Linked DNA regions of Astyanax mexicanus. The protein of the gene in region 1 interacts with the protein of each later gene in a pairwise test. Links are inferred from orthologs where the notes say so. Each region holds a gene or a part of one and is shown on either strand. Other genes may lie near its edges. The genes, in order: hpcal4 and fam131c.

What was found.
Region 2: the proteins of hpcal4 (region 1) and fam131c interact in binary tests that used the Homo sapiens proteins (3 or more experiments, as listed by UniProt). The two-hybrid records come from large-scale screens. The link is inferred for Astyanax mexicanus from reciprocal best matches to the Homo sapiens genes HPCAL4 and FAM131C.

Annotation. Positions count from the first base shown.
Region 1 is NC_064410.1:45,219,216-45,235,033, reverse strand, and holds the start of hpcal4 (hippocalcin-like protein 4), read right to left. Parts: upstream 7,468-15,818; 5' UTR 7,261-7,467; intron 1-7,260. UniProt on the Homo sapiens protein: May be involved in the calcium-dependent regulation of rhodopsin phosphorylation.
Region 2 is NC_064420.1:38,669,680-38,685,807, forward strand, and holds the start of fam131c (protein FAM131C), read right to left. Parts: upstream 7,502-16,128; 5' UTR 7,182-7,501; coding exon 7,142-7,181; intron 1-7,141.

The DNA.
Region 1 (15,818 bases):
TCCCCTCTGATGTGTGTTAGGCTATAGTTTAATTAGAACTATATTTGTTACAGTTGCATATTTATATTATATTTCTATGTCACATCAGCCACTTTCATAATCAATGTCATTGCACACTGCACTTTGCTCTGTTAATTATTTAAAGATCAGCAACAACTGCACTGCTCTGTTTACAGATATGTATCTTACCTTGTATAGTACGTTTTTGTATAGCCTTATATATATATTTTTTTTTCTCTCTCTTTTCTTCTTCTTTTTCTCTATTCTTCTGTTTTAATTTATGTTTGAATCTGTTTCTTATTGTATTGTGTTGTTGCTGCTGGATGCCTAAATTTCCTTCGGGATAAATAAAGTATCTATCTATGTATCTATGTATCTATCTATGTATCTATCTATCTATCTATCTATCTATCTATGTATCTATCTATCTATCTATCTATCTATCTATCTATCTATCTATCTATCTATCTATCTATCTATCTATCTATCTATCTTTATCTACCCTGCACTGTGAATTTTAACATGTTGTGTTCAAAAAAACAATGCAAACATAATAAGATAATAAGAACACATTTAATCACCAATTTATGTAGAAGTCTGAGTAATCCCAAAGGGTTCACATACATTTTCTTGCAACTGTATTTGGGGTGAGTGAAAATAACTTAAGTCAAGAGAGTAAAAAATTGAAGCATGTGTTAGTCTTCGCCCTCCAGGTATGTTGGGGAATTACTAGTGATAGGGGGAGTCCTAATGAGTGGGTTGGGTAATAGGCAGTGTAAACTGGGGAGAAAATGGCAAAAATTTGTGTAAAAAAATGGATTTGGGTTTTCCCATTCTACAGTCCTGTTTTTTTTTGAAGGAGAAAACAACATGGTTTAATGTTCATAGTTTGTTAAGTTTCACATACTATGGCTCTGTCAATTCTTAATCAGTTTAAATATCTGATGATATGTTCACTATATGTCCAAATGTCTCTGGACACCCTTCATAATACATCCATTAAGCTACTTTAAGTTTCACCCAATGCTGACAAAAATGTGCAAATACACACATACAGCTTGTCTACTGCCAGTAAAGAAGTACTGCCAATATTATAGCACCCCCTGGAGAGGATAATCATAAAGCATATTCGTACTATACTTAATGCCAGGCATGGGCTCAAGGGGTTTAAAGCCCCCCAGCATTAAGCTGTAGAGTAGTGGAACTGTGTTCTCTGAAATAATGGCGCTCCATCTAAAATCTAGTAAAAAGACTTTCCACTTAGTTACTCTAACAAAAGCAATACTTTTGTCCACATCATCCTTAATTCATAAATATCTACAGGAACAGTTCCCACAGAGCAACTACAGGATCTGGGTTCTTTACTCTTAAGCCCAAGAACAACAGCCTTCAGTTGTGACCTACACACTTCTTCAGAAACAGTCAAGTTCTCAGGAACTGTCCTATGCTTTTATATGAAATATAGATTAGTTACAGTTTAACAAAATTATCAGCTGATACAGATAAGTGTGCTGCATTTATAGGGCATTACTGCTGTTGATCTTTAGTAGCGTTAGTATCTTTCCGTTTCATCTAAATTTCTAACTAAATAACTGTGTTATCTTCCTTGCATCTCAAAGGTACATGATAAAAACAACAGTGCCAACTCCACCAGCTCATGGGGCTATCCTGGCAAAAATAAATATAGTGTAGGAAACCTTGCATCACAACAACTTAGTCCCCATGGGTGACAACTGGCACTGGATCATCTACATGTGCCTCTGAGGCTGACAGTAATGAGCAAAACTGTAATTGGTTCTATGGTCCTAACAGATAATGCATATGATATATAGCTTAAAAAAATAAAAAAAGATAAGACTTGACAGTTCATGATCAGCATAACAAAGGTATATTATAGATGTTTGAATAATTATAAATATTTGCAATATCCATTTGCATTTAATATAAAAAAAATGTTTAAGAGCAATAGAACACAAACTGTAATATTAACAGATATGACTTTTATGATTAATTCTACAAAACCTTCTAGAATGCAAAACTAATATCCACAAGAGTCTACTTCCAAACAATACAGATAAACATTGGTTAGCAAAACAGAGATTTCTCTACATCCAAGTCAACAGGTGCACTGCACCTGATGCCTAAGAAGACCTTAAGCAAGGAGTTCAGACTCAGGGCCTTAAGAAATGCAATTAGGACTAAGTAAACATCTAATATGCAGGCCAGCATATTACATTACCACTGTGCTACATTAGAATCAAGTTTCCTTATATTCCTTATACTTTGACTAAAGACTACAACTCTCAATGTTTTTAATCCAATTTCCTTCTGTTCGTTTTGATAATATTTCCATCCACAGATATGAAAATGCTTGCAGTAGCATGTATGACAGGTTTAAACAAAAATTACACAATGCCTTATGTAGTTTAGTATATAATGAATAATGTGCTATTTGAGATCTAGACAGAAAAATATGACAAAAAGCCTAAGACAACAGAAAAATTTAATCTTAACTATTTTTCTTCTATTGTCTTCAGTCTTCAGTGACCAAAACTTTACACTGCACATTAGGCCTAGATCCTTGATGGGACCCACGTGAGATTAAGGTAATAATGGAAAAACGGAAAGAAAAAAACATGTACAAACCCATTTAGTGACTGCGCCCACCTGGAACCCACCAACCCCATGTTCCATGACTGCAGTTTTGGAGTATCTGCAAATTGTGTACAATGTACAACACATTTCAATCACATCAAAAGTTTAGCTACATCTGTATGTCTTATAAAACTTAAAACAAATTGTGGCCTACACATATTGTTTCCAAGTGACAGCAGTCAGGTCCTCATCAGTGATACGCTATGGACGCCACACTCAATTACAAAAACAACGCAGCACCCAGCTGGGTCTATTAGAAGAGTGCTGGATTTAGCCAGTTACAGAAAGCAATTCCCTCTGGAAGTATGACTCTCAGACAAACTGGAGATTCTTACTGGACTCAAACTGTGGATTCAATCAGTAAATCACATAAAATACAGTACCTCCTTAGCATGGCTCATAATTATATACAGTATATATACTGAAAATGGACACCTCATGTGTGTAGATATGAAATGATGTGAAATGATCTCTGTGTGACCCTTTCAACACCAGATCAGATTCTGTCAAGATCAATACACTGTAAATAGAAGGGCAGTCAAAAGCCACCCACTGCCACAGTGGAAATACCACCTGGTACGTTGTGTGCTGAGACACAGCGAGAGCAGCCATGCCAACGATGAGTCCTATTCCTCTGCAATAGTTATGTCATCCTTTGTGTCAGGCTTCGTCAGATCTGTGTACTGTAACATGTTAGGCAAGCACATGAACAATTTACCTCTGATGTCCAAACACAGCCCAGGGCAGCGTGCGATGACTCCAGCTGCTAAATGTATTTGACAGCATCTTGCCCATTGTGACAGAGCTCTCGCCTCTCATTCACATTCAAAACAGGCAGTAGAGCAAAGCGAGAGGGTGAAAAAAAAAAAGCCTGTGGTTCCTATTAGATGAGTAGAAGAGAATATCAACAGGCTGCTATCAGAGGAGCGGGGGAAAAATGGGCCCTCATTTGTTCTTCAATTCACAAATGCCTTTGTTGTTTTTCATCCATCAAATTCCCCCCGGGCTGTTTGATTAGTGCTGCTGAAGAGCCACTGACTGTCTGCAGCTTTTTGAGTGCAGCCATGTTGAATCTGCCATCCATCTACATGAGAAACGGAGCATGTGGGTAATCAATCAGTTGGCTCCGCATGAGAGGGCTACAACACCTGGCGCTGCCTGGACGCCGTTTTCTGGGACAAAATGGAGGACTGGCGATGCCCACGAGCTGCCAGAATGAGTTTTTTTCTGTGCGTGGGTGAGATTCAATGTATACAGCTGGTGCTTATCACCCATCTCCTGCTTCTAGTCAGCAGAAACAGTGCTTAGACCTACTTTAACCAGTGTGGGAATACACTCAGGCATGTACTCCACTGCACATTCCAGCAGGGTATGGTCAGCCACTCTGGAAATGCAACTCTTTGTGCTTTTAGTTTAAAAAAATACATACAGTTGCTTCTGGGTGGTGTTGCAACCATTTAATGGCACTTTTCATTGCATGGTACCTTCACTACTCAGTTCTTTGCTTTTACATTTAGCAAATATGCTACCTGGTACCTCATTTCTGATTACAATGAAGTTGAACTGGGACTAAAACTGGACATGTAAACTCTGCAGAGCACTGATTGGCCAGAAATAATTCTCACTGTAAACACTGTACAACATCTATGCAGACACCTAGCGCAAACTACCCATTTGTGATATCTCCAAGCATCAACAGTGTTCACGTAAGCAGCTTGTGAAATTACATCCTGGTCTTTTGAAGCAGTATAAACATTCCTTGGATTGGTCGCTAACAAAAGAATCCTGCAAGAGCTGCAACGCCCCCAGCTACATTCTAAAGTTAAGTTATGAAAGTGGACAATTAACCAGGTATAAAAAGCAGAGTAGTGTAGGCACCATGCAGTGGAAAAATGCCATGAGCAGTGGCATTATCATTAGGAGACTGGAGCTTTGTTAATAGGATAGCCATCCATGGTTGTGTAAACAACACAACAAAACTAGCTTTACACTTGGTGGAATCTTAGTGTGTTCATCTGTTACCTATTGTAACAGAATTGGTATTAAGTATTCTCCTCCAAGCATGTTCAGCTTAATGTGAGGAGAAGAACTAGCCTCCATCCTCCTAGCTTAGAAGCATCATATATATGTATAATATATGTATGATGAGGAACACCTAGCAAGTGGTTGGAATTTGGCTTCTCTGTAAGCAAAATGGTTCTCATTAGTACTGAAAAATGGATTTGTGACTTTTAACAGTAGTGACAGTTCTATCCAGGGCAATACCAGAGAACTCTTGGAAAAATATAAAATAAATTCAGAAAGAAATTTGGTTTGAAATCTACTTTCCTCATCTTCACCACTGATGATAAACAGTGCAGTATACGATGCAGAACATACATTGATCATTATAATGAACAGATTTGTGTATTATTTTATTTTTGGTTTGAATAATTCAAATGGATTTTTAGATTAAAGTCAGACTTTTTTTTTTCAATTGGTTTTATATCTATTTATGGTAATTATGTAGACAATAAAATGTCAGTGCACTGGTTATAGATTCCTTTCTTTTTTTCATCTTAGACTTTAACAAATTTGATATCAAACAAACTACAATGCCATAGTTGGCGTGCTGTCAAATTGTCAATTTATAATCTTGCTGTACATTGGCTTTAGGCTTCCAAAATGACATCATTATGTTCTGGAGTAAACATGCATACTCACTGTAAACAGCTCAAAATAAAATACAGCATTTTCACTTTTCACCCAATCAGACTATTATTTTCCTCAAAATGTTGATTTTCTTCATCATTGCAATGTAGAAATTTAGTGTATTTGATCTGTATATATGTATGTCTTTAGAATTTAGTTCCGCAAGGCAACTTTAAACATTACAGTTTTTCAGGGGGTCCTGGGGTAATTTTCTCTTTAGCTCTGAGAAAATTACAGCCTGAATTGTCGCTGAACTCCATGGTCCTCCGGTAATTTTAGTCCCTTCCAGACTCACATCTCTGAGTTTTGTCTCCTCGTGTTTAATACAATAGCTATTTATCCACTGCCACACAGCGTAATTACACTTTGAGCACGCATTTCCACAAAGATCTGTGTAAACACAACAGTGAGTGGAAATGGAGGAGCTACTGAACGCGATTTCATATGACCGAGAAAGCCTAAAAAGTCACTGATCCTGATCCACAGTCCTTTTTTTTCAATTACAGTCCAGATGCAAGAGTTTTATCACTGAGTAGAAGTGTGAAATATTTTACACAGACATCCCCATGAGAAACTAATCCAGTCCGGATAGGGCTAAAGTGTTACTTTACATTGCTGAATCCTAAAATAGTATTTTACAGAGTTTTATATATTTTTTCCTAAGCTCTTACTGTCTTCCAGCACTTCTAGCACATCATCTTTTTAGCACCAGATTTAATTTCGGACACTTGCTACGCCAAGCCCAATATGCTGTACTTTGTGTTTCCATTAGTTCTTTTTCAGGAGTGTTTTAACTGTAAATGTTCACCTTTACTGCTTTCTTTTTACACAAAACTCTTCATGGGACAAAGCCCTTAGGTATTCTTTAAGGAAGTGGAGAAAAACCTTTGCGATTTCACTCTTTCTTGAGTGTACAGCCACTCATAGCCTTGTACTAATGACAGGTGCAGTCAATCACTGCTACACACACACACACACACACACACTGTGCAGCACACTTTTTCACTTTTATCACCTAAGACAGGGTGGTCAGAAAATAATAGTCTTCCATACAACGTGTGCAAAAACATGTACACACACATATACACACACACACACTGATGTAACTACATCTTTGAAACCATTTAATTCTACTTCCACTTTCCACTTGCATTTAGTCACATATGTGGTAAAAACAGCATGATGGCTTGTGAGAACCCATCATACTGTCTTGTTTTCCTGTCATCATAAGGACTGGGGGTCCTCATGAAGCGCACAACACACATGCAGAAGTACTGTAGCTGAACATAAACACAGAGCAATGCAGACACAACACTGACGCACATCCACTGCCAACCAGTCAGGCAGCAACATGAGCATCACATATCAAAGTGGCTGCAGACAGACTTTCACCTCACTCTTAAGGCTTTATCACATTATGTATAATTCCTCAGTATAGCAAGGCAAACTAGCTATACCCAAACTGGCACAAGACTCACTCTGTGACAGTGCTCTTATGTCTAATTCGTATGGCATGCATGTCTTGGCTATACATAGGCTCTATATAAACTCATAGCTGCTATAAACTCAATTACAATCTATCTGCAGAATCTCATAATCTCATTTGCTGACAGAGCTGCATTATATGTGCATTGGTTTCTTTTACACCATAGAAAAAGCAGCTGATAATAAACTGGAGAAAAAAAAGATATTATAAAGGAGATAATATAATAAGGCTGGTTTTATAACAGGAGCTCATAGTTCACTCTTTCTCTAGATTAGCTCATTTTAATAGCTGTATATTTATATGATTATATGTATATTTACTGGCTACACTACAGCATAATAGCATCACACAGTAAACACACATTAAACAATGGAAGAAATAAGGAAAAAAAACTAGGACAGCGGAAAGTAGAAGCAGGGATGACTCACCCAAGTATTTCTTTCTGGTGAGGTAGCCGGTCTTTGATGTATGTGTGTGTGTTGTGTGTGTGTGTTTTGAGTGTGTGATTCACACAAGTGTGTTATCCTCTCAGCGGCTGAAGACCAGCGGGCTGTTTCCCGGAGAAAAGCCCTGGACCTGCTGCTGATTCCTCCTCCTCAGTCACAGCGAGAGTGAATGGAGCGCCCGCATCTCCCTCACCGTGTTGATATCCCGTACCCACCCGTTCACACACAGGCCACGCCCTCTGCGCTGTGATTGGCTGTTCATCCAGAAGGAATCAAAGCCTTAGCCAATGGGAAAAAAGGATGAGGGCGGGGCTTGAAGCTATTAGAGGTGGGAAATGAAAAATAAAAATAAATAATGCTAAAGACAGGTTTGTTAATTTTTAAAGAGATAAAAATCATTCTGCGGAAACCAGATGACACTTTTGATGTGCGCTCATTATAATGAAGGTAACTGACACGATTAGATTCAATTATGCTAATTAAACACTTTTATGTTTCACGTTTTATAATGTCTCTTACTTAATTAGTTTTGTTGTTTTGCTCCTTATGGAACTGGAAACACTGTGTTGTTCTTCTACAGGGAATGGCAAACAAAAAAGAATTAAAAAAAATAGAAGCAGTTCCAATTGGTTTTTCATTCGTTATTAGCATTAAATAATATCTAAGGCATTGCTTTACTGCTTACTTTTTTGACAGTTTTTTTAGTTAAGCTACTATCAATTTGTGTTTTTTACTGGCACTGTAAAAATGTTTTCATTTGTTTTTTTTAATGATGATTATGTTTGTGTGCATTAAACAATTTGACTGCACTGTCATTTTTTGATTGAGTAAATATATAAATGTTTTCCAATCACCTCTACTACTTTAACCTCTTGAGACACTGCATTCTCATATGGCTACATTACATTTTTGCTTCTCTGCACCATGATACTTCATTTTTTAAAACATTGATGCTTTGGCCTCATATAGAGACACTGTAGTCACATGACAACATTACTCTAAATTGATTGAAAACAAAATGGTGGGAATCCCAGTCCAAATTCCTACAGCCAGGCAGGAAAGAAAATGGTCCAGGTAAAAATTCTCATCCAATTTTATGCTTAAAAAAAATATTTACTTTCTGTAGAAAGCTAACATTTTGTTTTTGGACTAACTGGGATTTTCTGATCCAAAATGATAAGCATACATTTTAAATAAAATAAAATCAACTACTGTCCCCACATGAGCAGATTGTTTTTGCAAAAACGACTTCCTGTACAAAGACAATGTTTTGTTTTTACACTTGTTAGGTCATACTTATCCAAATAGCCAGGAGAATTAAAAAATGTACACCAATGCAAGTCAGTTCATTAGGCGGCCATCTTTGCCATCTATATCCACTCATACACTGACTTGTTTAAATCAAGAGGACCAAATACTCTAAACCGAAGGTCTGTTTACAATTTGAACACTGTGTTTAAAAAAAACATTGATAAAATATGAACAGTTTGCTCCATAAAGCACAAAAAAACATGATTTTTTGGCTTTGTATGACTACTGCCCTTTTTATGCCACAGTATTTTTTTTTTTTTTTTTCAAAATAAAGAGCACCGCTATTGTTGAAATGCCTTTCACAGGTCGCAGCCAATCTGACAAAATATGTACATTAAAACAAAATGTCTTGTTTTAATGTACATATGCTGCTTTCTATTTATTTGAGCTGAGGCATTTCAGTTAAAGATTCAGATAATTTCAAAAACACTTCATTAAAAAAACAGTTCGTAAAAGGTTTTGGAGTTTACCACAACTGGTTTGTTAATCATTTAAAGTGTGAATGTGGCACATTAATACAATATATTCCACGTTTTATGTCAGGTTATCGTTGTATGACTGATTTATTGGCACAGGAATACATAGAAATTGAAAGTTAACAGTTCTTACTTGAATATTCTGACATCCGAGCTAAAATATATATATATAAATATATAAATATATATATATTTCATGTGTAAAGTAAATTTGTTTTTGTGACAATGTTGTTTTTCTTTTGATTTTTGTGGCACTCACTTGCCAACCAGATATACTGGTTAAATTGAGATACTCTGATCTCAATAACAAAGGACAAGAGTGGTTGGTAATTGCTAAAACCTGTCTTATTGCTGTTTTCTTCTTGTTGTTGTTGTTGTTTGTAAGAGATGGAAACACCCAGTGTTCAGGTTTTCATCAGTTCTCAAAAAGAAACATTAGGATCAGATGTAATAATTTTCAGTCTTGATCCTCATTCAGTGTGAAATCCCAGTGGAACAGGCCTCCCATTGGTTAGCAGCTGCAGACAGCAGGTAGCCAGTCAGAAAAGTAGCTTTATCTGGATGTTTTATAATTTAAGTTATTTGCATGGAAACTGGTTTGGCCACACACCCACAACCTGTTATAAAAATAGCAGCAGTGAGCTGTGTGGATGCTGGATTCTAAAAGATGAGAGGAAGTAGAGACCACTCTCCCAGGAGCAAGAAATCCATTAGTGGATTATAGTGTTACCAGATATACACTTAAAAGACACTTAAAAGAAAAGTTCATTTAAAATAAAGTATTAACACATTTATTACACCATTTTCCACCCAAATACAACCCATCAGCCATCATTAGACATTTTTATTAGAGAGATGTTTAGTGCTGAAATGTAGTCTCTTAAGCACTGGAACTACAATGTTCGTTAACTCCAAGAATCGAAATCTCCAAGATCCTTTCTGTAAATACACACATACACACCCTGCTAAAACAACAACAGCACAGTTTACACCAACATTTGTTCCATGTTGGTTTAAGCTGCTCTGAGCTTGTTTATGACAGTTCATGCTGGTCTGTGCTGGTTTAGCCAAAATGGCTGACAAAAAAGTAGAAAAATATTTTTTTTTGTGTAACAGCAACAGTATAATGGTCTTATTTATGACCAGCATATCAGCTTTCATTGCTATTGACTGGTATACTTCCATTTAAAGCAAGACCAGAATAGACAAGTATACTGTAGATAAACTTGTCTTCTCTTGTATGTTTGTAAGCAGATTTTAAAACAGAAACATTTTAACTGTGATATTTGGGCATATCTTGTTTTTTACTGGTTTCATGCAAAGCTGATTCGTACTGGTATATGTTTTTAATCTGATTTTAAAAGGTATATATTTTAAACAAGCAGGAATTGGACAATTTGTCTGGTCTATACTGGTACACATTTTTTATGTAGTATTTAAAATATATACAACACAATTAAGCTGCAACAACTAATTGATTAAAATCTATTATTAAAATAGTTGACAACTAATTCCATAATCAATTGGTTGGGTCTATGTTATTCTACACATAAGAAGAATATAAGTTATTACACACATAAATACACATAAGTGGCAACAGTTACATCCTTTTTAAAGATATTTTCTGACTCTGGTGTCGCGTGGAAGTGTTTAAGAAACACAATCTAGTGTAAATTTACATTACATACACTGTTGTTGTGTTATTAGATAATGATAATAATACAATTAATGTAAATCTCAGGTTAATTATTCATTTAAACACCATTAGTTTTAATAATGGTAGGTTTTGTGTTCCTTATTCAATTAAACATTAGTACAAAAACAGTTTGGTTTATTAAATAAAATACTGCAAATAAAACCTTGCCTTTTTCCCTTTTTATTCAATTAATAATTGATTAATCAGAAAAAATATCAACTGATTAATTGATTATCAAAATAATTGTTAGTTGCAGCTCTAAATTCAATGGAGCAAAATTGGACATTGCTTTTTAAATAAAACCCTTCCATTTTAGAAAAGTAACATTTGATACTGGAAATCTACAGTTAGCACTATGTTCTTTGGTTACATTGTTGCATATTACATTATTACGTTATTATTACATAAAAGTTGGAATTGTCTATTTGTTTTATCTATTGTCATAGATAAACTATATGGATTTAAAACCCAAACCATGTCTATTGGTCTTCTAATATCTAACAAACTGAAATGTATATATATTTTTATACTTTATATTTTCATGTTACCTCTATACTCTGGTTGAAAACTAAAGTGTGTCATTAATGAGATTATACCGCGATCACTACTTAGCAAGCTGTGCATCAGAGGAAACATGCTAATGTATCTGAAATCTTCTGAAGATGGCCAATCATTTTAATGGCAGTTGACATAAGTGTTCTCACATGATATCTCACTCTACAGATTGTGCGTCACAGCTCTGCTGGACCGTCCACTTAGTAACCCTGCCAATCACTTATCATCTGGAAGCGTGTAATTGGTGCATGGTCTGATTCTGCAGTGATGAAAGAAGCTGGAAGGGGTTAACGGACACATCAGCACACATGTTATGTCCACATGTCTCTGCATGCTCTCGTCCTTCTTCAGACAGCGGAGGTGAGTCAGGCGATTTAAGCGCACCTAGGAAGTTCTAAAGTGGTGCGTCACGGGTGGTCAGTAATGTCTCAGTCTGGGGTCTGTTGAGCGTCTGCTTTTTCAGAAACACAGGCTGACAGTTGTGCCTCACTGTGGGTTATTGTCACAATCAATTGTGTGTAGGGGGGTGTTTTGTCCTCCCCTCCTGCTGGACATGTAGAACACCAGGGGCTGATAAGAATTAGAAAGCTGCCACATGCTCAAGTCTCTCTCTCTCTAGGGCTCTCTGTCTTTCTTGTGTACTACAGAATGTTACGTTTTCATTTTTCTTGACTGACATAAAGGTGCCCTGGAATGAAAGAAAATGTATTTATATTGAAATAATTAAATACCATGAACCTCAAATAATCTTGTGTCCTCCTTTAAAAAGAAAACCCGCATAAGTAAAACAAAGCTGTAAAACACACCAATTCCAAAACACCCAAACTGTTATGTAACAGTCTTAATTTTTATTATTGCTCACTCTAAATTTAAAAAAATCTAAATTATTCTGTAGCTAAACACAATGACATTAAAAGAACATGCAGAAAAAATGTAAAAAGGGTAAAAACTTATGCTAACTGATATTGGAAGCTTTGCTCAAAAAAGGACCTCCAATTATATAGGAAAAAGTGTTATTAGGGGCTGTTTCATAAGGCTCAGGAACAAATGTACATAAAATAATTTTGATTCTTGTACCAGCTCTACTTTTGAACCAGAGGAAAAATGTCAAAATACAGTCTACAAGGTAACTGATTGCATGCTATAGATATGAGAACAATGAAAATCAAATAATACTTTACACTCTCTTTCACCAGTTCTCATCAGTTCTAATCATACTTTACTTTGGCCATTCAGGGTATGAATAAGAAGATGAAGACATTGTTTGCTGTTCTGATATCTCTGTGTTTTCAACAGCTCTTCTAGCTGCATCCTTGGCAGTACCAGGTAACTCAGGTAAACAGAAAAAGCTGTTGTTACCAAAAATGGCCCTATGGCCTTCCCTGTTTTTTAAACAATATATGTGACTTTTCAGGAATGGAAGCAGAAGGATATTGATGCCATTTCTTAAAAAAATGTTTGCCATCTCCCCACTCAGTAGGAACACTGCTACTTTTAATTTAAAAGAAAAATCTTAAGAACTGCTACTCGAATAAATATGTCACTTTTGAAGCATACTTGTCAAAATATCATCATAGTTATACAGAAACATGCAGTGTTATGCTTCATTTTGAGCCTTCCTTCCAGACACATATAACCTGATTACATTTAAAGTGCACTTTTTAAATGATGATTTCATTTATTAAGGAAAAAACCTGTCTGACAACGTGAAACAAATAAAATTCAAAAATAGATGAGAAAACAAAGTCATTGATCATCTGTCAGTCACTTGAAAAGGAGTCATTTCTTTGAGACTCTAGCAGATCACAGTGAAAGCTATCATTCACAAACCACGGAACACTGACGAACCTTCTCAGGAGTGGCCGGCCGACCAAAAATATTCCAAAAGGGCATGGACAACTCATCCAGGAGGTCACAAAAGAACCTAGAACAACATTTAAATAACTCTCACTTGCCTCAGTTAAGAACAGTGTTAATGATTTAATAGTAAGAAAGAGACTTGGAGAAAATGGAATCCATGGGAGAGTTCCAAGGCAAAAAACACTGCTGACCAAAAAGAACACAACGGCCCATCTCACATTTGCCAAAAAAACATCTTAAAGATCCCCAGAACTTTGGGTCATAATTCTTTGCACTGACGTGACCCCCGTTACACTTTTTTACACCACTATGGTTATGCCTCTCAGTGTCGTCAACAATACATTTTGAATTCAGACTCAAAATTAGTAATGTCTCAAAGCTAAATTTGCTTACATGTTTTTAGAATGATTTAATCTGTTTTCCTAATTAATTTTCTAATAATTTACCCTTAATTTGTTAAATGCTTATTACAGTCTGTAGGTTAAAATGTATGCGTCCAGATTGTGTGTGTGTGTTTTTTTTACATTACTTCTCTACAGGGACAAGACAGGTTGGGTGTACATTTACACATCTGCATCAGCAATGGTTGCAACCTAACATAGAAGCCATTGCATGTTTGGACATACAGTATTGTGTATGTGAAGAGCAACAGTTTAACTACACACTGGTTAAGACACAGGGGGTTCTAAGTTCTGTGTCCCTGTTTAAGCATTTGAGAATGTGCTTGGGAATAAGGAGGGGTCCTAACCTGCAGATGGGAATACTTGTTCTTAACTCGACTTAGCTTTAAGTGTTTTTTGTTGACCAAAATGTGAGCTAATTAACTCAATTTAGTTAATGTGAAGTACTTTCTGTAATCAGAGCCTTTTTTATGGTGTAAAATGTATGGTGGCAAAAAAAACATCAGCTTATGCCATGAATTGATGGAGTAATTGTATCTCAGTGCTCAGAGTGGTTTTATATATGGGACTGTAATGTAAGCAGTCTTCTTTTACTGGGCCCTTCCCATCAGCCTACGCCTCCCCAATCCCACAGAGAGAGAGCCGCAGCCTCAGGAAAGCCTTATGTTTCACATGCATTCATGCACACTGTCTGAATTCATAACATACCATAACAAGGAGGCGCTCTTCTACAGTGTAAACGACCTTTCCGTCCGTTTCAAAGGGCACCTCTTCACCCCCCACCACCACCACCCTCCATCCCCCACCCCTTCTCTGCAGCTCCCACTGCACAGCCCTCCATTATAGAGAAAACAAGTTAATTAGCGTCTAGAGAGGGGGAATCTGTTCTGCCGACTAATTATGTGTGGTAATAATTAAGCGGTTGTGGGACTGCGTACACACTTGAGCAGGAAACAGGAACGCTCGGTCTGGATCAATGAGAGAGGTGTGAGTTTTAGCGACTGTGTCGGATCAGACGAGCCAAAAAAAAAAAAGAATAGAAAAGACTGACTGGCAGCTCGCCACAGATTTGCATCCCTTCATATTCTGACCTTTTGAAGAACTGAACATTTTATTTCCTTCTTATATCAGAGGCCATTTAATCAAATTAGGACAAATGTCTGCCTCTGACCCCTCGGCTGGGGTCACGGTTTACCATTTCGTGCAGGCCATGATAAAAAGGTTGCTTTAGAAAATGAGCCTGGTTAGGGGTTGTGAAGGAAGGTCGTTTAGAACAGACTAATGAAATTAAGACTAAAATCGTTTAAGCCTGCGACAGATAATGTTCACTTAAACCAATCTCTTATTTATGTAAGATTTAAACTTGAAGTACACTTTGTGGACAACGGTATTGAGATTTGCCTAGTCATTGTTTATCCTGCTTTTGTCAGAGTAACTGTCTCTACTGCCCAAGACAGAGACTTTTAATACACTTACTAGTAAAACTATGACGGTCTGATTGCATTTAGAAAAATAGATTATATTAGTTATGTCAAAGACCCCAACTCCCTAACTCCAAATACAATACCAAAAATATTGATGGAGCACCAACACAGCTGATTGACCAAAGCCTACAATTTAATCTAAACACAAATGAGCTTTTTTGACTTAAATCAAATTAAGTCAAAAATACTCTATGTATTCGTTCCATCATTCCAGAGAACACAAGATCAGTGCTGAAAAACTTTATATCCACACCTGGCATTAGGCATTGCGCATGTTGTGCATGTAGGTTAACGTATACCTGATTCAGACCACAGTCGGTTGGACATATAGGGGAGAACTGGTCATTACAAACCTTGTAATAATCAGCCAAATCAATAACAACCATTATGAGCACTGACTAATAGTTTTTGCATATCTTGCATAACTCTTCACCAACATCTGTTATGTCAGAGAGGCCTTCCAATGAATAAACATTTATCGCTGTCCAATGAAAAACATGTATCTCAAAAACAAGCAATGCACCAACTTTACAGAAAATAGATAAAACCTTCTCAGCTTTCAATGGAAGTCAATGTCAAAAAGCTTATTTCAGGTCATTTTGAAAACATTTTTTTCATTAATCAAGACGATTTGACACAGTGTAAGGGACAGTTTGTTCAAATTAAGTAGCAAATAAAAACTGATAAATGTGGATACTTGTTTTTCATTGGACAGTGACAATACAATAAGTTACTTTCTTTTAAATGCATAAATTAA
Region 2 (16,128 bases), on another chromosome or scaffold:
CAGGTCTTAACTAGATTGGTAGAGCATATCTGTGGACCTATATCTTTTTAAAGAAGGTGTTGAACTTAACCTGATTGTGTCGCCTCTAGAGATATGTTAGGCTAATCAAATAAAATACACAATTTTAATGAATGTAATTATGTATCTATCATTATTTCATTTTTGCAGAATTCTTGTTCTGGTTATGATGTGGTTTAAGTGCCATCTAAATGTATATATAGGATGTATATCTTAAAAACTATGGGATATTTTGTCCTGAACATTAAATATGCCCTATTACAAATAGTCCATTGTTTTTTGTCTTGTAGAGGACGTGAAAGGGTTAAGAGAGTCAGATACTGTATTATCAGAGCATGTGCTCCCTGCCATTTTCATGCAGAGGTACCATAAGGTTGAAACGCCAGACCCTGTCGTATCACATCTGTAGATGTTATGTGATGCGATGTCCTTTTGAGCTTGGACTTTTAAATGAGCATTAGTTGATTTTTTTTCTCCTTTACCTTTTCTCACTATATAAAAATAGTAAAATATGTAAAACATAATAAAATAAGGATTACATTTGCAATGGCATCAGCATATGAGTATAAGGTGCCTTGAGGAGAAAAAAACTGCTTTAAAGGCAGTGAAACTGTGTGTGTGTGTGTGTGTGTGTGTGTATGTGTGTGTTTGCACTGATCTCCAATTGATCTGTATAAAAGACTCTTTAGCAACCAATTATTCCACCCCATCTCATCTCATTTCATCTCACATCATCTTATCTTATTGTTTGGCTAAAATAAGAGGGAAGATGGCAGTTTATGCATTGGTATGGCTTTTCCAAATAGAGAGAATTATTACACAAAAAATAGTGTATATCACTAATCAAATGAATCAATTAAATCAATTAAATCAATTAAATGAAATGAACTTTCAAATACCTTTGGTTCAAACTTTAGGCATCAAAGGTGCAGGTTTTGTGGTCTGATCAAAAGTGTGAGTGTGAAAATACAGTTTGTACTTTTGGACTTATTACAGGAAGCTCAGACAGGGTCTTGTTGTGCTGAAATCTAACACCCCCCCCCCCTCCCCCCATTCGCTATATACAGCAATAAAAGCACAAACATAAACATTACTACCCCACCCTCCAACGCACTAATGCGTACTAAACTACAGTGTGAAACCTAACACAGGTGGTGACTGATAAACTCAAAGGAGCTCATTACAAAGAACCTACCATAGTGTAAATACACTTAACTATTTTCACAGCAACAGTTTTATTTATAGGTTTAACTTTTTAGTATTAAGAACAGGATTTTGGTAGTGGGCAGCACCAGAGTAAAATGCTAACACATTCCCTTCAGACAGGGTAGTGTGATGCGCACTAGGAACAGACACATCTGCTATAGCCACCGATTTGTGGAGTATGAGAGGAACATGATAAGATGATAAGCCTCTCCATAAAGGAGATCCTAGAGGTGTGCTTTGTGTTCATGGCCGGGAATAAAAGGGGGACCTCAAAGGGAAAATCGATTCAGTGTTGTATTCACCACCTCTTCATAGCTAGGGGTTGTGTTGCTTGAATTCTATCTAATGTTCCTACAAGGTGGGTGACATTAAAAGGTTTATGGGCAAACAGGCATAGTGTGAGTAGAATGATATATTAATGCATATAATGTATATGCAGCTCTGGAAAAAATTAAGAGACCACTTAAAAATGATGAGTTTCTTTAATTTTACCAAATTGAAAATCTCTGGAATATAATCAAGAGGAAGATGGATGATCACAAGTCATTAAACCAAACTGAACTGCTTTTGAATATTTGCACCAGGAGTAAAGCAGCATAAAGTTATCCAAAAGCAGTGTGTAAGACTGGTGGAGGAAAACATGCAAGATGTTTTCTAAACTCTGAAATCATGAACATGAATATGAACTTGATTTCTTTGCATTATTTGAGGTCTGAAAGCTCTGCATCTTTTTTGTTATTTAAGCCATTTCTCATTTCTGCAAATAAATGCTCTAAATGACAATATTTTTATGTGGAATTTGGGAGAAATGTTGTCCATAGTTTACGGAATAAAACACTCTTTTCCAGAGCTGAATAAATTATATATTATATAAATATATATAAATATATAAATTTAAATATAATTGAACATTAAAGATGATGTAAAAGGCTGACATTCATTATTCATTCATTATTTCTTCTATTCTATTCTATATAGTGAATCTTGTTTACATTCACTATTGTAGTTTTAGTGAAACAAATCCCACAATTCACTCATGAAAGGAAACTGTAACAAAATATATCACAGTAATCATCATATTGCCCACACTGAGCCTCTACTACTCTGATCTCTCTTCCTTTCTTATCTCTCCAGAGGATCTCCACCTGATGCACAGAGATGAGAACAGAGGGCTTTCTCTTTTTTCTCTTCCTCTTCCTCTCTCTCTCTCTCTCTATACTCTCTCTAATAAAGTCAGAAGCCCGGAGAGACTTCACCTATATCTCATCCTCTGGGAGCTCCGCCATCGCAACATACTGCACCAGTTAAACATCCAAAACAAGTCCTTCCCTTCTGCATGTTAAATTGGCGGCACTCATTAATCAGGCAGTCGAGCCTTTCAGCCGTTCAGCTAAGGCTGCAGTGGGCACAGACCCACCAATTTTGGACAGTTAAAATCTAGGAAAACGTAGCCTGGTCTGATAACTCTTGATTTCTAGGCATGTAAAACAAGTCACTTTTTCTTTCTGCATGTTAAATTGGCAGCACTAATCATTAATCAGGACAGTCAAGTCTTTCAGTACAAGAGGTCGGAGAGCAAAAGACCCTGAAGTGCTGCAAAATGAGAGTGAATGCTCTAAAACATATATCGCTGCCAGCCACTGTAACACTTCTCACTAACATCAAGCAACAGTGATGTGTTGTCAGGGATGAAATTGAGCGTGGCATAATTGTTGGCGCCAGAAGGACTGGTTTGAGTATTGCTATAATTACTGATCATCTGAGATTTTCAGGCAAAAATCTTTGGAATTTATTCAGAATGGTCTAACAAAGAAAATAAGCTGACATTGGAAGTGCTTTTCCAAAATGGAGAGAATTTTTACACATACATATATGTATATCAAATCTAGTAGATACATCACTTCCATTGCTTTTACATACCTTTGGTTCAAACCTTTTAGTTAGTTTGGACCAAAATAGAAGCATTAAAGGTGACGGTTTTGTAGTCCAAACAAAAGTAGCTGTCTCAGTTTGAATCAAGTGAACAATGAACAGAAAGCTGAGGCTGCAGTGGGCACAGACCCACCAATTTTCGACAGCTAAAGTATAGAAAAACGTAGCCTGGTCTGATAACATTAGATTAGGTTCAGAATTTGATGCCAACAGCATGAAATTTGCACCCAAGCTGTCTGGTTTCAACAGTGCAGGCTGGCTGAGGGAGTTCAACATGTAAAACCAGTCACTTTTTCTTTCTGCATGTTAAATTGGCTGCACTAATCAGTGCAGTCAAGTCTTTCAGTACAGGAGGTCGAAGCGCAGAAAACTCTGAAGTGCTGCAAAACGAGAGTAAATGCTTTAAAACAACTGCCTCTGGGGTGGCATATTCAGACGCTATCACTGCCAGCCACTGTAACACTTCTCACTAGCATGAAGCAACATGATGATCCCATCCTGCAAACCTGTCATCTCTGCTTTTCCATGCAATTTAACTTTGACAGGAGAAGACAGATGATGACAGTTATAGCCATACAGGATTTACAGAGCCTTCTCTTCTTTTTCCGTCATGTGGGTGACATGTTTACATTGCCTTTCAAATATTAGATCTTTCAAATCTCATGTTTTTTCCAAACAAAAAAAATCAACCTCATTTTTCACAGAAGGTGTTGTTGTCTGTCTATCTGTCTGTGAGTTTGTCCATGTCTGTGTGTAAATTGTACTCTACACGTATGAGTTCTGATATGGAAATTGTTGGGCAATGCTGATATCTGATATGTTATCTCCAATATCGTATATCTGATAAACATCCATTTATTTCCGTATACACTGACATGTGGTAGGATCATACTTTGGTGTCAACATTTTAAATCCATGGACTCCACCTGCCTTGTGTCAACAGTCCAGGCTGATAAAGGTGATGTGTTTGTGTGGGGACTGTTTACTTGAAGCATTTTGGGCCTGTTAATCCAAATCAAACATTGCTTTAATGCAATAGAATATTGAGCGTCTCTTTATGACCACTGTTTGCCCATCTTCTAATGGATATTTCCAGCATGATAATGGATTGGTCAGTATCTGGCTCCATGAACATGAAAATGAGTTCAGCATGTCTCCAACCCCTTCCTGTTGTGATTGACACAAATGAAACAGTGGACCGCCGCTCTGCTGTTAATCCGTAATTAAGAACACTCTTGGGTTTCCTAAACGCTTCTCGCCTTGGACGTCTGGCCGACAGAACAAGTTTTAATTGATGCAGACGTCACATTATGTCAAGGTTCGTTAAAGTTTAAAAAGGTCACTCATCTCATTTACAAAACTGCCTATTTACAAAGGCAGACATTGGAAGGTTCTTCCTGGAAGCTTTTTTTCCTTAACTAGATTGTATTTGTCCGGTTGGTATAATATATAATATTATGGAAACTCTGTATTGCTATTGCTATATATATAGAGCCACATTTAACTATATTCAGCAGGTTTTCAAGAAGATTTTAATAATTTAAATGTTTTTTTTAGTTGTCATTTAATGCATTTACAAGCACATCCCTGCTATACAATTGCTGAAAAAAACATACCCTTTGCTAGTTGGCTAGCTCGTTGAGAACCTCCTGACCAGCATAGGGTATGTTTTTTCTGGATGACCAGCTGTCCTTGACCTGGATTTTGTTTTTAGCAGGGATCATAATCTGATTATAAATGGATTACTGTAGTTATTTGATTATTCAAGTAGTCATATAGGTATAGCTTACTTCCATTTCTTAGAATTTAGCTCAGTAATTTAATTTCTCAGTGCAGACTCTTAACCTGTGTACTCTCGGATGTCTCAGTCTGTGCATGCACGAAAACAGACCACAGCCACAGCACCCGCAAGATGGCAACAAACACATTCTGAGCGACGCTAAAACTGAAGAAGTTGAACAATTTTCAACTACTGATCAATTAATTACCATATACTCAGAAATGTGTATATTTTGTCAAATGTATCATAATACAATAAGATATTATCATATTGCTAAGCTCAGCTTCTTATTATGTGAGTTTATTGGCTGCTTGCAAAGCAAAAATCTGATTATTTCCCCGCCCATTACATTTAAAGTTTTCCCATCATCTGATTTCCCAAGTTCAATGAGAAATAAATCAAATCATTGATCAGGTTACTGACGTGCATGTAAATGCACTCAGTGGTCTATATCAAACTAATTTACTAAAAGAAACCTTGAAGAACCTCCGGTTGTGTATTGGCATGAACTTGGCGTGAACTCTGCGATAAGATTTGCATTACAATTAAGCGGTTATGATCCATTATATTACAATATATTATGATACTGTAAGCAAAGTGAAACATTGTTATTGATTATATAAAATGTTAGGAAAACTCTTATAGTTAAAAAAAAACATGATCTTTAAAAAATCAGAGTTTAAAAAAGTTTTTACTTTGTATCCAATCAGAACAGTGGGATGACAGAGTACAACACTATCTACACTCTATAATCTAGTGGGCGGGGTTTAAAAACAACACTAAATTAACTACTGTCTAACACCCATCTTTACACCAATCGATACAGTAATGCAAAAAAAACTGCAATATTTTGATAGATATTATTGATTATATATAGACTGATATGTTCTAACACCTCTAGTATCCACACTGAGTCAACAGTGTAAACAGTAGAGGTGTGCCAAAAAATCGATTCACATAAGAATCTTGATTCTCATTTACTACGATTCAGAATCGATTTAAAATGTCCCAAAATCGATTCTGAGGGGCGGGTTTTAGACTGATTTTGGGCTGGGTATTTTTGTTGGACCTGGCAACCCTGGGGATAGCGCTTGTCCCTTCAAACGGAGATCTCCCAGACCCACACAGAGCGTAGGTGTTTGAGAATCGCCGGTAAGATGGCAGAACAAGCACTATATTACCTTAGATTAACGTGTAGTTTCAATGTTTTATGGCAGAATGCTTCATAACAAGCATAAAAAAGATCGCTAGTAGTTAGTTTCAGTAACTGTTAGCTAGCTAACTAGCTAACTTTCCAGTTCCACCTTAAATAACGCTACAGGTGGCAGCGGGCTGCAGCATTTAAGGCGGAACGGAAAAATAACAATAAGCTAATCAGAGCTAATTTCAGCTCCTCATCACAGAGGAATTAAGGAATGGACAATATGAATTAATTTCTCCACCTCCTGCCCCCTTTCTGAAGAAATACAACCACCTTAAATTAACTAGTTAATCAGCAGCTGCTCCTGAACTTTAGCGCTCCAATGCTATCATCACATCAGCCCAGCAGCGTCACCTACACACCACCGCTAGTAGCCTGGTAATAAAGCAGTGTTATTTATTTATGTATTTATTGTTCATTAACGTCATTGTGATATCCCAGTGATTCCTCTGTCACTGAGGACCCACATTCCTGCACATTTTATTGTTTTTGTAACACATTACTTGCTCCAGGACCAGTGTATATTATGGAGGGTTTTTTTTCAATACGATTCATAAGCCAGAAGCAGAAATATTTATAATTCAAATCGTTTTGAATCAAAAATCGATTTTGAATCGAATCGTGGCCCCCAAAATCGGAATCGAATCGAATCGTGAGATAGTAATCGATTCCCACCCCTAGTAAACAGTATCAATGAGGATGCCAATATAACCATCTGTGTGTGACAATCTGATAAAAACAGACATACATAGACAGGCATTCTGACATAGCCTTCTGTTATTAACCCTTAAGAGAGACCAAAAAAGTCCAAACTCAGAGAAGCAGACAGGATAATTACATAGATTCTCAGGCAGGCAACTATGCCAGCAGAATAACAAACTTAGAGACGATTAAACAGGCAGACAGTTAGACGATCAGACCACAGGAGTCGTGTAAAGACAAGCAGACAGAGCAGTGACAAAGACTGACAGACAGACAGACAAGTCAGTGAGATAGGAACTGACCTTGGTGACCTTTGCAGAGGCAGGCGCCCATGGTGACCATCAGCCAGGTAGTTATCTGTTCACCATGCTGAAGGAGGAGAGGATGAGAGGGGGAAGATCAGGGATGAGTGAGAGAGCTTCAGAGATGGGGGTCTTCTGGAAAGGGGGAGGAAAAAAGCAGTAAAATAAAGAAAAGCTGAGAAATAAGCAGGAATTTGTCAGGGAGAAAAGAAAGAACTTGATGTCTCAGATAGAGCGAAGCACTTCCTGCCATCTGTGGGGCTGAAAGAGTGGAGGGGGGTGTAGGCGATAGATAGACAGATAGGGAGACACAGAGAGAGAGAAAGAGAGAGAGAGAGAGAGAGGGGAAAGAAAACATGAGCACACATTGCCTGCTTGCTCCATGTCCCTCCCTTACACTCCTCCTTTCTCCTCCCCCTCTCCCTCTCTCCCTCTCTGCTCCGTTCTCCCTCTACCCCCCAACCTTCACACCCTTTGCTCACTCTCACTGAAAACTACAACCTCTTCACACATGTAGTGAACTGTAAAAGATGGATGGTGTGAAGTAGGAAGGAAAAACAAGAGACAGAAGGCAGCAGCACTTTTGGATGTTATTGTGAATGAAACAGGACTGGGGAACATTGAGCCCTCATACAATAATACAATAATGATGATCTTTCACTGTAAGCTGTAAGATGTTTGCTGCAACTTAAGATTGCAACAAATTAAATTATTAAATGATCATGTCTACGTCAAAATAAATATGATAAATAATAATCAAATGATTTCATAAAACAAGACATGAATAAATCAAATCCTAATAGAGACACAATCTAAATATCATTACCTTAAAAACACTTTGAAAAGTGAATGAAGAACTGACAGCTCTCTGCTTCCCTCTAGTGCTCTATTAGCAAGGTGCAGACACACGAGAACACAACAAATCACACCTTCTTAAGGATGCTCAAACTTCTCATAGTGCTGTAGGGTTCATTTTAATTAATTTAGTTCATTTAAATGTATGTTTTAATACGTTTTTCAACATTGTGTAATCAGCACTGAAGGTCAGTATCAAAATAATGTGTTTTTTGTATCTGCAGAACAATTGTTTAAATTTAAATAAATACCATTTAACAATACCTTTTTAAGGTTTAGTCTCAATAAACATATCATAACATATACAGAGGAACGTTATCACTTTAAATAACTTTTTTTAGTTTTTGTCTGCTCCCCTATCTTACCTATTTTGTCATGCTCATCAGTCAAATGTTTTTAATTAAATATTTGTTCACTTTCAAAGTTCTTAGTGCCTCGTTTTAAATGTCAGGGCTCTCAGAATTCTACCAATGAAGTGTGGAGAATTTTTTAACTTGTTATTGGTGTAATAATGGAGATTATCTTGCATGGGTACTGCTATGCTATCTCAAGCATTGTAAGTTTGCTGTATTTCAGAATCCTGGGGGTAAACAAAGGTGGGTTATTCGACAATAGTTTGTACTCATTATTATGTTTCACTACAGCCCAAGTCCATTTCACACAAGTTTTTCCTTTAAAATACTTATTCTAAAAGGGACTAAAATACAGGCAAGAATAGAGCTGGTGAGATATCTTTATGTTCGAGTAAACATGTTTTTATAGCACATAGACCTAATCTAACTTGTGTAAAAGGAGGTATAATACACTCACACATTTTAATATTTGGTTGGAACATCTTTAGCCTTGATTGCATCACGCATTCACTGTGGCATTGTTTCAATAAGCTTCTGCAATGTAACAAGATTTACTTCAATCCAGTGTTGCATTAATTTTTTTTACCAAGATCTTGCAGCATTGATGATGGTAGAGTCTGACCTCCGCACAAAGCCTCCAGCACATCCCAAAGATTCTCAATGAGGTTAAGATCTGGACTCTGTGGTGAACTCTCAATCCATATGTGAAAATGATGATCTCATGCTTCCTGAACCACTCTTTCACAATTCCAGCCCCATGAATTCTGGCATTGTCATCTTGGAATATGCTTGTGTCATCAGGGAAGAAAAAATCCACTGATGGAATAACCTGGTCTATATTCAGTATATTCAGGTAGTCAGCTGACCTCATTTTTTCAGCACATACTGTTGCTGAACCTAAACCTGACCAACTTTTTTTTTGATAAAATAATAAATAAATGAATGAGTTAAATAAATAAAACATTGAATGAGAAGATTGTGCTCATACATTTGACTGGTACTGTATTTGTTTTACATTTATTCTTATTGTTTGCTCAGTACTCATCACCCCTGCATCACACAGTAAACACATTTGGCTAATTTTAACCTAAACATTCCTTTATTTCACACGTTCTCAGTGTGTAGACGCTCATAAACTGCTCTTGTCTGAGCTTGAGGCTTCAAATCGAAAGTATTGTCAGACGAGTTTCCCTAAAACTCAGTTTAATCTCTAACACAAACACTGCTCTGTTTTCACAGCGCGAGCGCCTCGACACCCTGTTGCCTAGCAACCGCGCTCTCCAGCTCCAGGCACCTCTCAACTAATGAGTCACGGATTCGATTCAGTTTACCGAACCGACTCTTTACTAATTCAAACTTTGAGTAGTTTGTAATTTTTTCAAGCAGCGTTAATCTAACACAGCGTCTATTCTTTCTCTGTACTGGAATTATATTAATGAGAACTCCCTCCAGACTACTGGGTAAGCTTTACACAAGTTGTGAGAACATTGCTGTGAGGATTAATTGTATTCAGCCACAAGAGCATTAACTAGTTAGCGTGGTCAGCTCTATAAATTACTGAATATAAACAGCATGGCCCAGTTTAAACTGTGGTTAGCTAAATTAAGGAGCTTTATGAACAAAATAGTACAAATTAAATGGCAAAAGTATTGAAAAAAAAACCACACCAAACAATTAAGATTTAATTGAGAAGAATTAAAGTAATTCAAAATAAAAGAAGAGTAAACAGGTTAAAAATTAAAGCAGTCAAGTTAAGAGTTAACGTTAAATAATTAAAATAATACAAATCAACAAACACAAAAAATAATAGAAGACAAAAAATGAAGTAACTAAAACTAACTAAGATTTAAAAAGGTACAATTAAATAGTTTTTAATCAGGTTAAACTTCATGAACAAAACAATAAAAAGTGAATGGCAAAACAAAAAACAAGTCAAACATGCAACTTAGATTTAATTTAAAAGAATGGACAGACTAAATATTAAAGCAGTCAAATACGAGTTAAGTTAAAGAGTAAGAGTAAAAAAAGCACAAATAAATAAAAATAGAAGGCAAAAGATATTAAGTAACTAAAATAACACTAAGATTATAATAAATATTGAAGAGTACAAATAAATTAAATAGTTCAAATAGGTCAAAATGTAAAATAAAATGATGATTTAGAAATTAAACAAATAAAAAAGATTACAGGCTGTCTGAAGGTAGTTTGTAGTTAACTAAAATTATGAATGAATGATTTAGCGACAGCAGGAAGCTGAGTTTTAGAGATTCCTGTAGTGAATCTCTGGTGCTCTGAAGCTAACAGCAGATTTTCCCAGTTCAGTAAAATCAGTGAGTCTGATAATTACTGTTGTTCTTAGAAATCATGGATCAGGTAACTATAAGATGGCATAAAGCTGGAGAGCGAGTTATAAATAAAAAAAATAAACCAGTGTGCTGAGTATACTCAGCTTTTACATGTTATGTATTCTAACCTGCGTACTTCATACTCAAAAACTAGTTAGTACTAGTAATTAGTAAGCAATTGGAAAAATCCTTACGTTGCTACACCTTTGTGAAGACGGGCTCTTCTCATGGAGCATGGGCTTGTTTAAAGATTTAAAAACTAAAATGTTTGTGTTAATGTTTATGAATTTATGAGGTAAAACTGTGATATTATTTGAGTTGTATTGTAGAACCTTACCAATTAAAGTGTACTAGCTATATGTAAAGCTATGTGTATGTTAGCTATGTGAGGATGTCCTATTGATAATTAATTTAGGTTCAGTTTGTTATGATACACTCTTCAACAAAGCAAAGAAAAATGACCTAAATGACCTAGGCCTCACTTTAATGCTAAAGTTACAGCCTGTCATTTAGCTGCTAGTGCTGCTAGCCTCGGCTAACCTACAGACTGTGAGTAGGAGAGGGCGAGAGGAGCTGTAATGTGTTTTGAGGGAAAGCTGACACTCTGTGGTGAAAGAAAGCAAGCACAGTTCTAACATTTTTAAGAAGTATCTTAATGCCATCATTTTGGTTTGGATATGTCTTAATAGGGCCTATTTCTCTTTCACACTCTCTCTCACACACATACACACATAAATACACATACACACACTACTCTACTCTGTGTCTGTGTGTTTTGTGGGCACATGCTAAAATTCCATTCTGTGTTTAACTACTAATAGACTCTTTCCACTCTCTTTCTCTGCCCATTCCCACACACTCTTTTCATTTCACTTCATTTGGTTGGGGTAGTTTGGTGGGTAGCATCACGGCCTTACCTGTGGCAGACTAGGTATTAATACTTTGGCTGAGCTGGGCGGCTGCTTACCACACTGAATAAAAGGACCAATAAGAGTCCTTGAGCTCTACATTCATCTACCTCTATGTATCTGTGATTTATATGATTCAAATGCACAGTGCTGCTTAAATATTTGTGAACCCATTTGAATAATCTATTTTAAGATTTTCAGTCCTAAAATTAGATAAGGGGAACCAAATTAAACAAATGGACAAAATATTTAACTCAAGTCATTTATTGAGAAAAATATCCTATATTACACATCTTTGAGTGGTAAAACTATGTGAACCTTTGCCTGTAGTAACTGGTAACCTGTTTTTCAGCAATAACTGCAATTAAACATTTCTGGTAAATGTTAAGTAGTTCTGCACATCAGCTTGGAGAAATTTTAGACCTCCAATTTTCCTCCATAAAAACAATTTCATTACATTATATAACATTTGGCAGACGCTTTTGTCCAAAGCGACTGATGTACATTTAGTAATAGAAGTTTAAGGTAAAAAAATTTTTTTTAGACAGGGCCTAAAGGAGGTCAAAGGAAAATAGTGGGATAGAGGAGGAAAGGAGGTGAAGAAGGAAATGACGTTAGAAGTAGTTAGTTTGTTAGAGGTGTTACACAAGTAAGTGGTCTTTGAAGAGAGCTCTGTCTTCAGGAGTTTCTTAAAGATAGCGAGGGACAATTTCAGCTCTGTTGGTGGGTTTTCTCACAGTAAGTCACTTCAGGTCCTTCCACCATCTCTACTGGATTAAGGTCAGCACTTTGACATTTTTGGCATTTTTTTCGTAGAACTACTTGTGTTCTAAGGGTCATTGTCTTGCTGCACGGCCCATGTTATCTTTGGATTTTGCTACCAGATACATTTCTTGATTTTTTTTTTTCAGTGTTTTTTTTTTTAGATGGTAATACATTCCTGTTCTTTAAATAAAACAACACTCTGCCCGCTCACACCTCATTGTTAAGCCATAATTTCACCTTCAGATCAGCTTCTAATTCTAAGGGTTTTATACACTTTTGCCACTCATAGATGTAATACTGGATATTTTTGTGTCATTTGGTTTGGTTCTTTTTTTTTTCTACTTCTGAAAAAAAAATTTGGAAAAGGGTGCCAGGAAAATGTTTGTTTTCAACAAGTAATGTTTTTTTTTTTCTTGCATAGAGGTGCCGTACAATATTATTACACAATCATTTCTGAGAAAAGTTATCTGTGGCATCGGGAATCCATGCATTTTAGCTTTTGTCTTCATTCTTCCGAATCTGTGAAGATGGTATGCTGTATTTCCATTTAGAAGAATGTCAGTGAACAAAGCAAATAAAAAAAATCCTGCTGGGAAACAAGGGAAGTGATAGGTGCTGAAACCAAAACAGAAATTAAAAGTGATCCACCTCGGCAGATAGAGTAACACCACAGGAATTTATGGGCCGAGAGGCCGTATCACTGTGAGCAGAAATCCCCTGGGCAATGCGTGAAATCACAAGCCGGCATGAAATTTATTTAACATCTGCTGTCATAAAAGGTAACCAGCACAGCCCCCTCATACCATGCAGCATTTTACATAGAGTACAGGTAGCTTCTATAGAGGAGCAGGGTGATTGCGTGCTTTCATGGAGGGCTTGAATTGTGGTTGGTAATGTGAGAACTTGATCTCACTTGATGTTTAAGCTGATGGGACAGTGTGGGTGATGAGCGGAAATTAGAGAACAGAGAAGAGTAAATACACAGCTACGGTTTTGTAATTGACCGTCTGCATGAACACTTATACATAATCCGAGCTGACGTGATTCATCATGTTAATTGCAGGCCCGTGTCGCTGACGGTGGGCTGTGTAATGAAAACCACCTTTAAGTCACCCCAGCGATCACTCATTAACTTCCTTTTCACTGTATACTTATAGCTGAGCATAGTGATTAATCATATCCTGTGTAGGGGCAGTAGAATATTAGAAATAATCCATGCAGAATGATTAACAGGTGGCGCATTCCACATTTTGATCTAATTCTGTACCTTTCTTTCCACAGCAAAGAGCTATACTTTGAGAAGCCAAAGTGGTGTAGAAGCATTAACATTCCTCTTACAAATGAGTGCTCTTCAAAGCTTATAGGTAAACCCACTTAAAATAATAATCATACACATTTAGAGGATAAAGCAGATCTACTTTTTCCTTTCGAAGACTTGAAGTGATAAAGAGGATATGATACTGAATCTGTTTTGCATAACACTTTTCAGTTAAACAAAATAGATGTTTGGTCTCATCCCTAAATCATTGTTACAATAGTCTTCTGTGTCCATAAGATCCTAATTTTTTATATTTTTTTTGGCAATTTTTTGCCTGATGAGCCTCGAAAATCTCTTCATTCCTTACTTGGATCTAATTTTGGACTTTTCTATCTATTGCAGCTGTTCTTTAAGGACCCAACGTGGAGAAGAGGCATCAGCATTCCTCCTACAAATGAGTGCTCTTCAAATCTTACAGGTAAATTCACTGAAGTGAATAATCCTATTCGTTTTTTAATAATCATACATATCCTCAAAATCCTCTGTACTACTTCTGAGACTTAAAGTAATATAGAGGGTGTGATACTGAATCCATTTTACATAAACTTCTCAGTTAAACACAAAAAATATGTATTGTGGTCTCATCCACAAAACATGACAAACCATTGTTACAATAATCTTTTTGTGTGTCAATACGATCCTATAATTGTCTGTTTCGGAAAGCAGCTACTTTCTTCTTGCATTCCTGCCATGTTCTCTTGATGGTGGGCTTATGAACATTTAAATTAGCAAATGTAAGAATGGCCTTCAGTTGCTTAGAAGTTACCTTGGGTTCCTTTGTGAAAATGCAGTCTATTAAGTGCCTTGCTCTTGGCATAATCTACAGTCATGCGAGAAAGTTTGGGCACCCCTATTAATCTTAATAATTTTTAATTCTAAATATTTGGGTGTTTGCAACAGCCATTTCAGTTTGATATATCTAATAACTGATGGACACAGTAATATTTCACGATTGAAATGAGGTTTATTGTACTAACAGAAAATGTGCAATATGCGTTAAACCACAATTTGACCGGTGCAAAATATGGGCACCCTTATCATTTTATTGATTTGAATACTCCTAACTACTTTTTACTGACTTACTGAAGCACAAAATTGGTTTGGTAACCTCATTGAGCTTTGAACTTCATAGCCAGGTGTATCCAATCATGAGAAAAGGTATTTAAGGTGGACAATTGCAAGTTGTTCTCCTATTTGAATCTCCTCTGAAGAGTGGCATCATGGGCTCATCAAAACAACTCTCAAATGATCTAAAAACAAAGATTGTTCAACATGTTATGTTGGTCAAGAGGGTTATAATAGTCTTTATAATAGTATTTAATATGTACACAATCTGTCTGACTGTGGATTGATGGAGTCTAAACTCAGAGATGGTTTTAAAACCATTTTCTGTCTGATGAGCCTCGGAAATGTCTTCATTCCTTATTCAGGTCTAATTTTGTACTTTTCTATCCTTTGCAGCTGTTCTTTGAGGAGCCAACGTGGTGAAGAAGCATTAACATTCCTCTTACAAATGAGTGCTCTTCAAAGCTTACAGGTAAGCCTGCTGAAATTAATAATCATACACAGTTAGAGCATAAAGCAGATCTGCTCTTTTCTGTAGATGACTGGAAGTAATATGGGGAAATGATACTGAATCCGCTGTGCAGTAAATGTGTTGCCTAAAGTATGAATGTATACAGAAGTTAGCCCGGACATGTTCACTACACCTCCGCACTTCACACTTTACTGTATTCCTGCTGTGACAGAACAGGTATTGAAAGCTTTGTGATTAGCTGAGGAGGTGAATCAGTGGGAATGTTTTATTAGTTACACATATGGACCACGTCCAGGTACAGCACTGTTGTGCACAATTACACAGTAACACCATCAATTTCTTTAGCCCCAAGCACAAGAACTGCTTAGTTACACTGAACACAGGGAATTTTGTGAATAATCAAGACACTAAGCTACACTAAAACATGTGAAACACAGAATGGTTGCGTAGATTTCAGGCAATTGTCAGGCTACATGTGACTGGTACCTGTGGTTTTCTAGCTGGGTGCTATGGTGTTGCTAGGAGGTTCCTATTATGTTGCTAAATAGTTGATATGGCATTTACATGTGGCTGCTATGGTATTATTTATTTTATTTTATATTTATTTATTTATTTATTTACTTGCACAAATAGAATGTAACAGGTAGATGGTATCTAGATTCTGTGGTGAATCCAGATATGATATCTTTTAAAGAAAGCTCAGAATGGCTGTATTGTTGTTGCTATGGTATTCCAGATGGTTCCAATGTTGTTGGTAAGTGTTTTATGAGTTTGTTGATGAGGTGGTTGCTTGTCAGTTGCTATGGTATCCCGAGTGGTTTCTAAGTGGATGTTAGATTTGATGAGTATTCCACTGCGTTAAGGTGATTGCAGTGGTGTTGAAGGCATTTGCTAAAATATTGCTAA